2 linked regions of the Macaca mulatta genome follow. The protein of the gene in region 1 purifies or fractionates together with the protein of each later gene. This does not show direct contact. Links are inferred from orthologs where the notes say so. Each region holds a gene or a part of one and is shown on either strand. Other genes may lie near its edges.

Evidence for each region. The genes of interacting proteins can lie anywhere in the genome.
Region 2: the proteins of TAF10 (region 1) and USP22 purify together in Homo sapiens (affinity purification with mass spectrometry; 4 studies listed by BioGRID, with this or other methods). This does not show direct contact. The link is inferred for Macaca mulatta from reciprocal best matches to the Homo sapiens genes TAF10 and USP22.

Annotation. Positions count from the first base shown.
Region 1 is NC_133419.1:59,170,822-59,173,984, forward strand, and holds TAF10 (transcription initiation factor TFIID subunit 10), read left to right. Parts: upstream 1-1,332; 5' UTR 1,333-1,344; coding exon 1,345-1,576; coding exon of another isoform or gene 1,577-1,591; intron 1,592-1,714; coding exon 1,715-1,869; intron 1,870-2,084; coding exon 2,085-2,149; intron 2,150-2,233; coding exon 2,234-2,348; intron 2,349-2,525; coding exon 2,526-2,615; 3' UTR 2,616-2,663; downstream 2,664-3,163. Other genes in the region: scaffold protein ILK, read right to left, coding at 2,926-3,075. UniProt on the Homo sapiens protein: The TFIID basal transcription factor complex plays a major role in the initiation of RNA polymerase II (Pol II)-dependent transcription.
Region 2 is NC_133421.1:21,923,725-21,927,955, reverse strand, and holds the start of USP22 (ubiquitin carboxyl-terminal hydrolase 22), read left to right. Parts: upstream 1-1,430; 5' UTR 1,431-1,603; coding exon 1,604-1,774; exon of another isoform or gene 1,775-2,683; intron 2,684-4,231. UniProt on the Homo sapiens protein: Deubiquitinase that plays a role in several cellular processes including transcriptional regulation, cell cycle progression or innate immunity.

The DNA of each region.
Region 1 (3,163 bases):
AATCCCCAAATCATCTTCCAGAGTAAAATGCAAATCCCATCAGGCCACTTGGATGAAAACCCTTCAAGGATTACTGGATAGAGTTCAGGCTTTTTATTTTCTTCCCCCAATCATAGCTCACAAACCTTCGTTGCTATTTGTTCCTAAGTAACAAATCATTTTTCCTCCTCCCTCCCCAAACCCCAAGGAACTCTCACTCTTGCTCAAGCTGTTCTGTCCCCTTAATACCACCCCTGATACAAACTGCCTGGTTAATTTCCAGAATTCTTACAAGATTCAGCTCAGAAGTCACCTTCTCTCGTGAATGTTTTGATTCCCTGAGGCTACTTCATTTTGCTATGGCTGAAAAATCCTAGATTTTCTAAACAAAACCTGTTTGAATCTTGGTTCTGATATGGACTGGGAGAGAGACTGGGTCAAGCAAGTTTATCTCCCTGAGGCTGTTTCCTCGTCTGTTAAGTGGGAATATTACCTGCCTTTCCTAATCACCAGGGAATAAAGTGGAATAATGTTGATAAGAGTACTTGGCACCTGGAAGTAGGTGGCAGATGTTAATGCCCTTCCTCCCTTGCACTGCGACCCCTGTGTCTACCTCTAGTATTGTAACGACCACATAGTATTGAAATAGCCACTTTACTTGTCTGGCTTCCTTTCCAAGACCGTTGGTGCCTAAAGGACTAGAATCGTGTTCTATTTAACTTTGTATTCCCAGGTCCTAGCTCAGGAGTTGGCAAATAAGAATTAAATATCTGCTACATTGAAAATCTCACGCCTTTCACTCGTTGTGATTTTTGCATACGTTGTCGACTTAGGCTGAAACCCCTCCTCCTTCTACAGCAGCACTGTGGGCCGCCCCACTGCTGCCCCCACCTCTCGGGGCAGTTGGTGGAGAAGGGCGGGGGGCTTTCCAAATCCACTATGAATCCTTACAAGGCTGAATAAGGGAACTTGAAAGGATGCAGACAGGCAGGCAATCCGTAGTCGAGGGATGTAGGGCCCATAAACCTCGAAGCAAGGTCTTGAGCGTCAGACAGAATGAGGTGTCCCAGAGCGGCGGAAGAGTCCCGGACGCACGCTGCTTCTAGTCTCGACGGAATCGCCACCGAGCACCGCAGAGGCTAGGGCGGAATGGCGACGGCAGCGCAGTTCGCCAAGGCTTGGTCTCCGCCCTTCAGCCTATTTCCTCTAACCCGCAGACCCACTACCAGAGGAGGCGGGGAGCGGGCTGGAGAGCACTAACAGTGACAGGCGGGGCGAGTCGAGGGCGCGTGACGTCACCCCGGGGTGTGCGCGGCGCGAGCGGAAGCGGAAGCGGCTCTGTTCGCCGCCTCTCCCACCGGCCCGATGAGCTGCAGCGGCTCCGGCGCGGACCCCGAGGCGGCGCCGGCTTCCGCCGCCTCGGCCCCGGGCCCGGCACCCCCGGTCTCGGCTCCCGCAGCGCTGCCCGCCAGCACCGCTGCGGAGAACAAGGCCAGCCCCGCGGGGACAGCAGGGGGGCCTGGGGCTGGAGCAGCTGCTGGGGGCACGGGACCCTTGGCGGCGCGGGCCGGGGAGCCAGCTGAGCGGCGTGGGGCGGGTGAGGGCCTGACGGGTGAGGGCGAGGGAAGCGTCTGGGACTGGGCCCAGCGGCGGGTGAGGGCAGCGGGTATAGACAGACCTCGCTGGGGCCCTGCGCCTCCCACCTCTGTGTCTCATTTTGCTGGTTCTCCTCCAGCTCCGGTGTCGGCGGGTGGCGCGGCGCCCCCAGAAGGGGCCATGTCTAACGGGATTTACGTACTGCCGAGCGCGGCCAACGGAGACGTGAAGCCGGTGGTGTCCAGCACGCCGTTGGTGGACTTCTTGATGCAGCTGGAGGATTACACGCCTACGGTGGGCTTCCGCCCGAACAAGGCCACCTAGCCTGCTGTCACAACTTTCAGCCACATCTCCGTGCTTTTCAGCACCCTCTGATGTTTGCTTCCGTAGTCGCTCTTGTTTTTGCCCTCTGCTCACCCAAATCGTGAGCTTCCTGATAACCAGGTCTATCCGACATTTCCCTCACCCTCATCCCACTCTGCTGACAGTTCTCTTAATTGATTTCTTAGATCCCAGATGCAGTGACTGGTTACTACCTGAACCGTGCTGGCTTTGAGGCCTCAGACCCACGCATGTGAGTAAACCCAGGGCAGGTTAGTTTTGGGTGCTTGTGCAGTGTGTTGTCCATCTCCTTCTCATCTAAGTTTTTTCTCTCTAGAATTCGGCTCATCTCCCTAGCTGCCCAGAAATTCATCTCAGATATTGCCAATGATGCCCTACAGCACTGCAAAATGAAGGGCACAGCCTCCGGCAGCTCCCGGAGCAAGAGCAAGGTGTGAGGGGAGGCTCATTGAATCACTAATTACCTTCCACAACAGTGGAAGCTTATCCTGCCACCCCTTTGGGGAAACTGAATCCTAGGGGAGGTGTAAAACTTACTCAGGGTCACCCATCTGGGATTGAAGTGTGGGATTCCTGTGCTCAGTTGGTGCTCTTCCCTCTTCCCTCAGGACCGCAAGTATACTTTAACCATGGAGGACTTGACCCCTGCCCTCAGCGAGTATGGCATCAATGTGAAGAAGCCGCACTACTTCACCTGAGCCACCCAACCTAAATGTACTTGTCTGTCCCCATGTCCCCACACCAGCCTGTTTTCATAATAAACTTTATTGTGACAGGCGGGGCTGATCCCTCCCATGTTGGGAGACACCATGTGGCAAGTGACAAAGCTCTGAGCCCGCCCCTTTTGGGGCCACAGTGGTAGGGATGGGGGAAGGGGATGGACCCCATGGCTGGGGTAGTACCATGACTGGAGGCAGGGGAGGCAACCAGAGGTCTGCTGCTTTGGGGAGGTACATTCCCCCAACCATGTCCTGACACCTCTGGAGTTCAGGCAAGGGCCTTCCGGTCCTACTTGTCCTGCATCTTCTCCAGGATAGGCACAATCATGTCAAATTTGGGTCGCTTTGCAGGGTCTTCGTTCATGCAGATCTTCATGAGCTTACACACATGAGGGGAAATACCTGGTGGGATGGTAGGCCGAAGGCCTTCCAATGCCACCTGTGAATACAAGAAAAAACTGAGCCTCACAATTTGAGTCTGTCATGTAGAGAGAAGCCACTGGCCCCTGGGACAGGATAACTGTATA
Region 2 (4,231 bases), on another chromosome or scaffold:
ACGGAAAAGGAGGTGTGTGATAAAGCTGGAAGGAGGTGAGCGATCAGCCATGGAATATAAGGATGCGGGGCGGGGGGGGATTAGGGGGTGGGGAAAACGTTTTAGGCGGAGGGTACTACAAGCACAAAGGCCATGAGGCAAAAACCTGTGCTAGGCAATTTATCTTGGCCACAAAAACTTTATTCCAGTCGTCAGCCCATTAAACCCTGTAGCTTTAAGTGTTGTGAGATCACAATCTTTATTTTTTAACTTGTGATGGCTCTGGACGGCAATTGCTGTTTCTTGCAATCTGTGGATGAATGAGCAAAGCAGTTAGCAGTGGGAGGAGTACCAGGGAGCAGCACCACGCCTCACACCTCATCCAAGTTCCCCCAGATTCTTGGCGCCCTGGCTCTCCCAGAACATTGTTTGCATTCGTCTTTAAAGGTCTTTTCAGTTTGCCTTGGGTCAGTTATTTGTATACCGATTAGACCTGTGCAGCCCATGGCGGTAGCAGCTAGTAGGAATTGGATGTGCTGTTGTGTAAATACCAGATTTCGAAGATTGCAAAAACTGTAAAATATTCCACTAACGATTTCTGCAATACTGCGTACATGTTGAAATATTTTGACCCTATTGGGTTAAGATATTTTACTATATTTAACTTTCTTTTCATTAGAAAAACGTAGCCACCAGCAAATGAGAAGTGTCAGGCGTGTGGCGTGCATCTTCTTTCAACTGGATGGCGCCGGGTTGGCCCTCGCTATCCGCGGGCTCCCGACAGGAGGTGCCGCAGCTTGAGGCAGGGAGCGGCGCGGAGCAGGCAGTTGGCAGTTCCAGCCCCGAGCCGCGGCACTGCAGGGCCCGACCCAGGTTACGGCAACCGGGGGCCCTGCAGACAGCGCCCGAACAGGGGATGCTGTTGGGTGGGAAAGTGCAGGCCCTGGATGGAGGCCCGACCTGCAGGGCTCCAGCTTGTCGCCCCGCCTCTTTGCGGCAGAGCTCAGGCCGGCGCAAACCGGTTCAGTGCTAGGACGGACGCCTCGCGCCGCCCAACCGCAGCACGCCCCCGCCTCCCTAGTCCGATGGAAGAGACAGGGAACGTCTAGTCGCCAGACGGACTGTACTGAGAGCCTATGAAAATGGCCGAAGATACTGGGGGGGGGGGGGGTGGCCGGCGACCAATAGAGGAAGGGAAGGGGCGGGCTCTCATTAGCTTCCCCTCGCCCCACCACGCTTCCTTGGGCTCCGGTCTACCCACAGCCTACGGGCGCGCGAGAGGGGGGAAGGGCCTGGCGCGGGCCAGAGACTGCGCAGTGCGGTGCCGGCCGGGGGGTGACGTAATCTCCGTCCGCGGCCGCGGCGCCCCGCCCCGCGACGCCCTCCGCGAACCGGGAGAGCGCAGCGCGGGCGGCCAGCAGCAGCCGCAGCTCGGGGGCGGTGCCTGCCCCGCAGCCTCCCCTCAGCGATCGCGCAGCCCCATCTTTGTCTGGCCTCCGCGCTTTGTTCTCGGCGCCCGTGCCTTGGCCGGCCAGGCCCGCCGCCGAGCAGCCCCTACGCCGCGCTGGCGTCGTCCTCGCCCCCCTCGCCGCCGCCCCCCGCGCGCGGCCGGGCCTTGCCCCCCATGGTGTCCCGGCCAGAGCCCGAGGGCGAGGCCATGGACGCCGAGCTGGCTGTAGCGCCGCCGGGCTGCTCGCACTTGGGCAGCTTCAAAGTGGACAACTGGAAGCAGAACCTGCGGGCCATCTACCAGTGCTTCGTGTGGAGCGGCACGGCTGAGGCCCGCAAGCGCAAGGTGCGCCCGGCAGCCCACCCCGGGGCGGGCTCGCGGCCTCCTGCCTCTCCTGAGGCCGGCCGGGGGAGGGGCCCTTTTCCTTCCCCCTTCCCTTTCCCCCTTGCCTTTCCCTGTCCTTCCTCCTCTTCCCCTCTCTTTCTGCTCTCTCTCCTCTTTACCCCTTCCCCCTCCTTTTCGTCCCCCCCGTCCCCTTTTCAACTCCCTCCCTTCCCCCACCTCCTCATCCTTCTCCCATCCTTCGCCTCTGTCCCCTTCCTCCGTCCTTCCTTACCCTCCCCCTCCTTTCTTTTCCCTCCCCCTCCTCTCTCCCCTCCCCCTCCTCTCTCTCCGCCTTCCCCCTCCCTTATCCTTCTTGGCCCGGGAGGGGCGAGTGCTTCCGGGCGGGGGGCGGTGTTCTCCTGCCCGGCTGCCTGGGGAGCCTGGGACTTCAGTGGGCGGTCCCGGTCGTTCGTGCGAGAGGTCCCTGCGGGGAACTCTCCTGGTTCCAGAGGGTTCGGGGCTGGATGGGGGTGCAGAGAAAGAAATATTTCAAAAAAAATGAGTAAAGGGTGGGGGATGCCGTCGGGGTCTGGGCGTTGGTCTGCAGCGATCACCCGCCGCCGGGAGCGACCTTGGACGGGAGCTGGGGCAGGGGGCGGGTTGGGGGACGCTGGACGGCAGCTTTGCGGCTGCCTTGGGGCCCGCGGGGAACTGGAGGTGGAGAGCGGCGGGTGCTGGGGATGGAGCGAGCCTGTGGGTGCGGAGCCGCCGCCCGGGTTTGCGTTGCGGCCGAGACGTGGACTTGGAAGCGCGCTGTGTGTTGTGGGAAGCCTTAGCCAGGAACGAGTCCCCTTCGGGAGCCCGGTCTTGGCGTCCAGCAGTTAGGCCTGCTAAGGATTTGGAAATCAGAACGTAACATGATTCTTCTATGTGAGTGAACTTTATTTTTACAGTTTCACGCGCTTTTGTAGATTACAGTCCGAGATTGGGAGTTGTGAGGGCAGTTTCTACCTTGAGTGGCATTTTTTTTTATGGGAATACCAACAGGCCTGCTGAGATTGTAGGGTATATTAAGCAGCAACTCAAAAAAAAAATTTTTTTTTTGAGACGAAGTCTCGCTCTTGTTCCCCAGGCTGGAGTGCAGTGGCGCGATCTCAGCTCACTGCAACCTCCGCCTCCGGGGTTGAAGCGATTCTCCTGCCTCAGCCTCCAGAGTAGCTGGGATTACAGGCTCCTGCCACCATGCCCGGCTAATTTTTGTATTTTTACTAGAGACGGGGTTTCACCATGTTGGCCAGGCTGGTCTCGAACTCCTGACCTCAGGTGATCCACCCGCCTCGGCCTCCCAAAGTATTGGGATTACAGGCGTAAACCACCGCGCCCGGACTCAAAATTTTTTTTATCTGTAAAGATAGCGGGAAGCACTATGTCTAGATGAACTAAAATCAGAGATAAAACGTTTCTGTTAGGATCGGAGTTAGAGTCTTGCTAGTAGAATTGTGTGTCTTGAAGAAAAGATGGCCTGGCGTGGCGCGGTGGCCTCACACCTGTAATCCCAGCACTTGGGGAGGCTGAGGCAGGCAGATCACGAGGTCAGGAGTTCGAGACCAGCCTGGCCAACATGGTGAAACCTTGTCTCTACTAGAAATACAAAAATTTTTTTTTTTTTTTTTTTTTTTTTTTTTTTTTTTTTTTTTTGAGACGGAGTCTCGCTCTGTCGCCCAGGCTGGAGTGCAGTGGCGCGATCTCGGCTCACTGCAAGCTCCGCCTCCCGGGTTCACGCCATTCTCCTGCCTCAGCCTCCCGAGTAGCTGGGACTACAGGCGCCCACAACCGCGCCCGGCTAATTTTTTTTTTTGTATTTTTAGTAGAGACGGGGTTTCACCGTGGTCTCGATCTCCTGACCTTGTGATCCGCCCGCCTCGGCCTCCCAAAGTGCTGGGATTACAGGCGTGAGCCACCGCGCCCGGCCAAATTAGCTGGGTGTGGTGACGGGCGCCTGTAATCCCAGCTACTCGAGAGAGTGAGGCAGGAGAATCACTTGAACGCGGGAGGCGGAGGTTACAGTGAGTGGTGATCGGGCCACTGCACTCCAGCTTGGGTGACAGAACAAGACCCTGTCTGGAAAAAAAAAAAAAAGATGACCTGGTTGAAGCCGGCCTTCTGGTGTCTGGATTGGGACGTGACGTGCCCAAGATTCGTTTGTACTTTGGATGAAGTGGGGAATGCCCCACTCTTCCTCTCCCTCCTCCTTTTCTTTTTCCCTTCCATCCCTCTCTCTCCCTTTCTTCCCCCCCTCTGGTATTTTTAACAAAGCTGAAGGAGTCAAGTTTAAACCATTATTAACTAACTTTGCCTAATTTCCTAAAGGAAAGAATTACTTTTTTTTTTTTTTTTTTGCGTTACTTATGGCTCTGATTAATCTTTTCAGATGTCAGTTGCTTAGTTTCAAAACTGTTGAGCCACATGTATGTTATT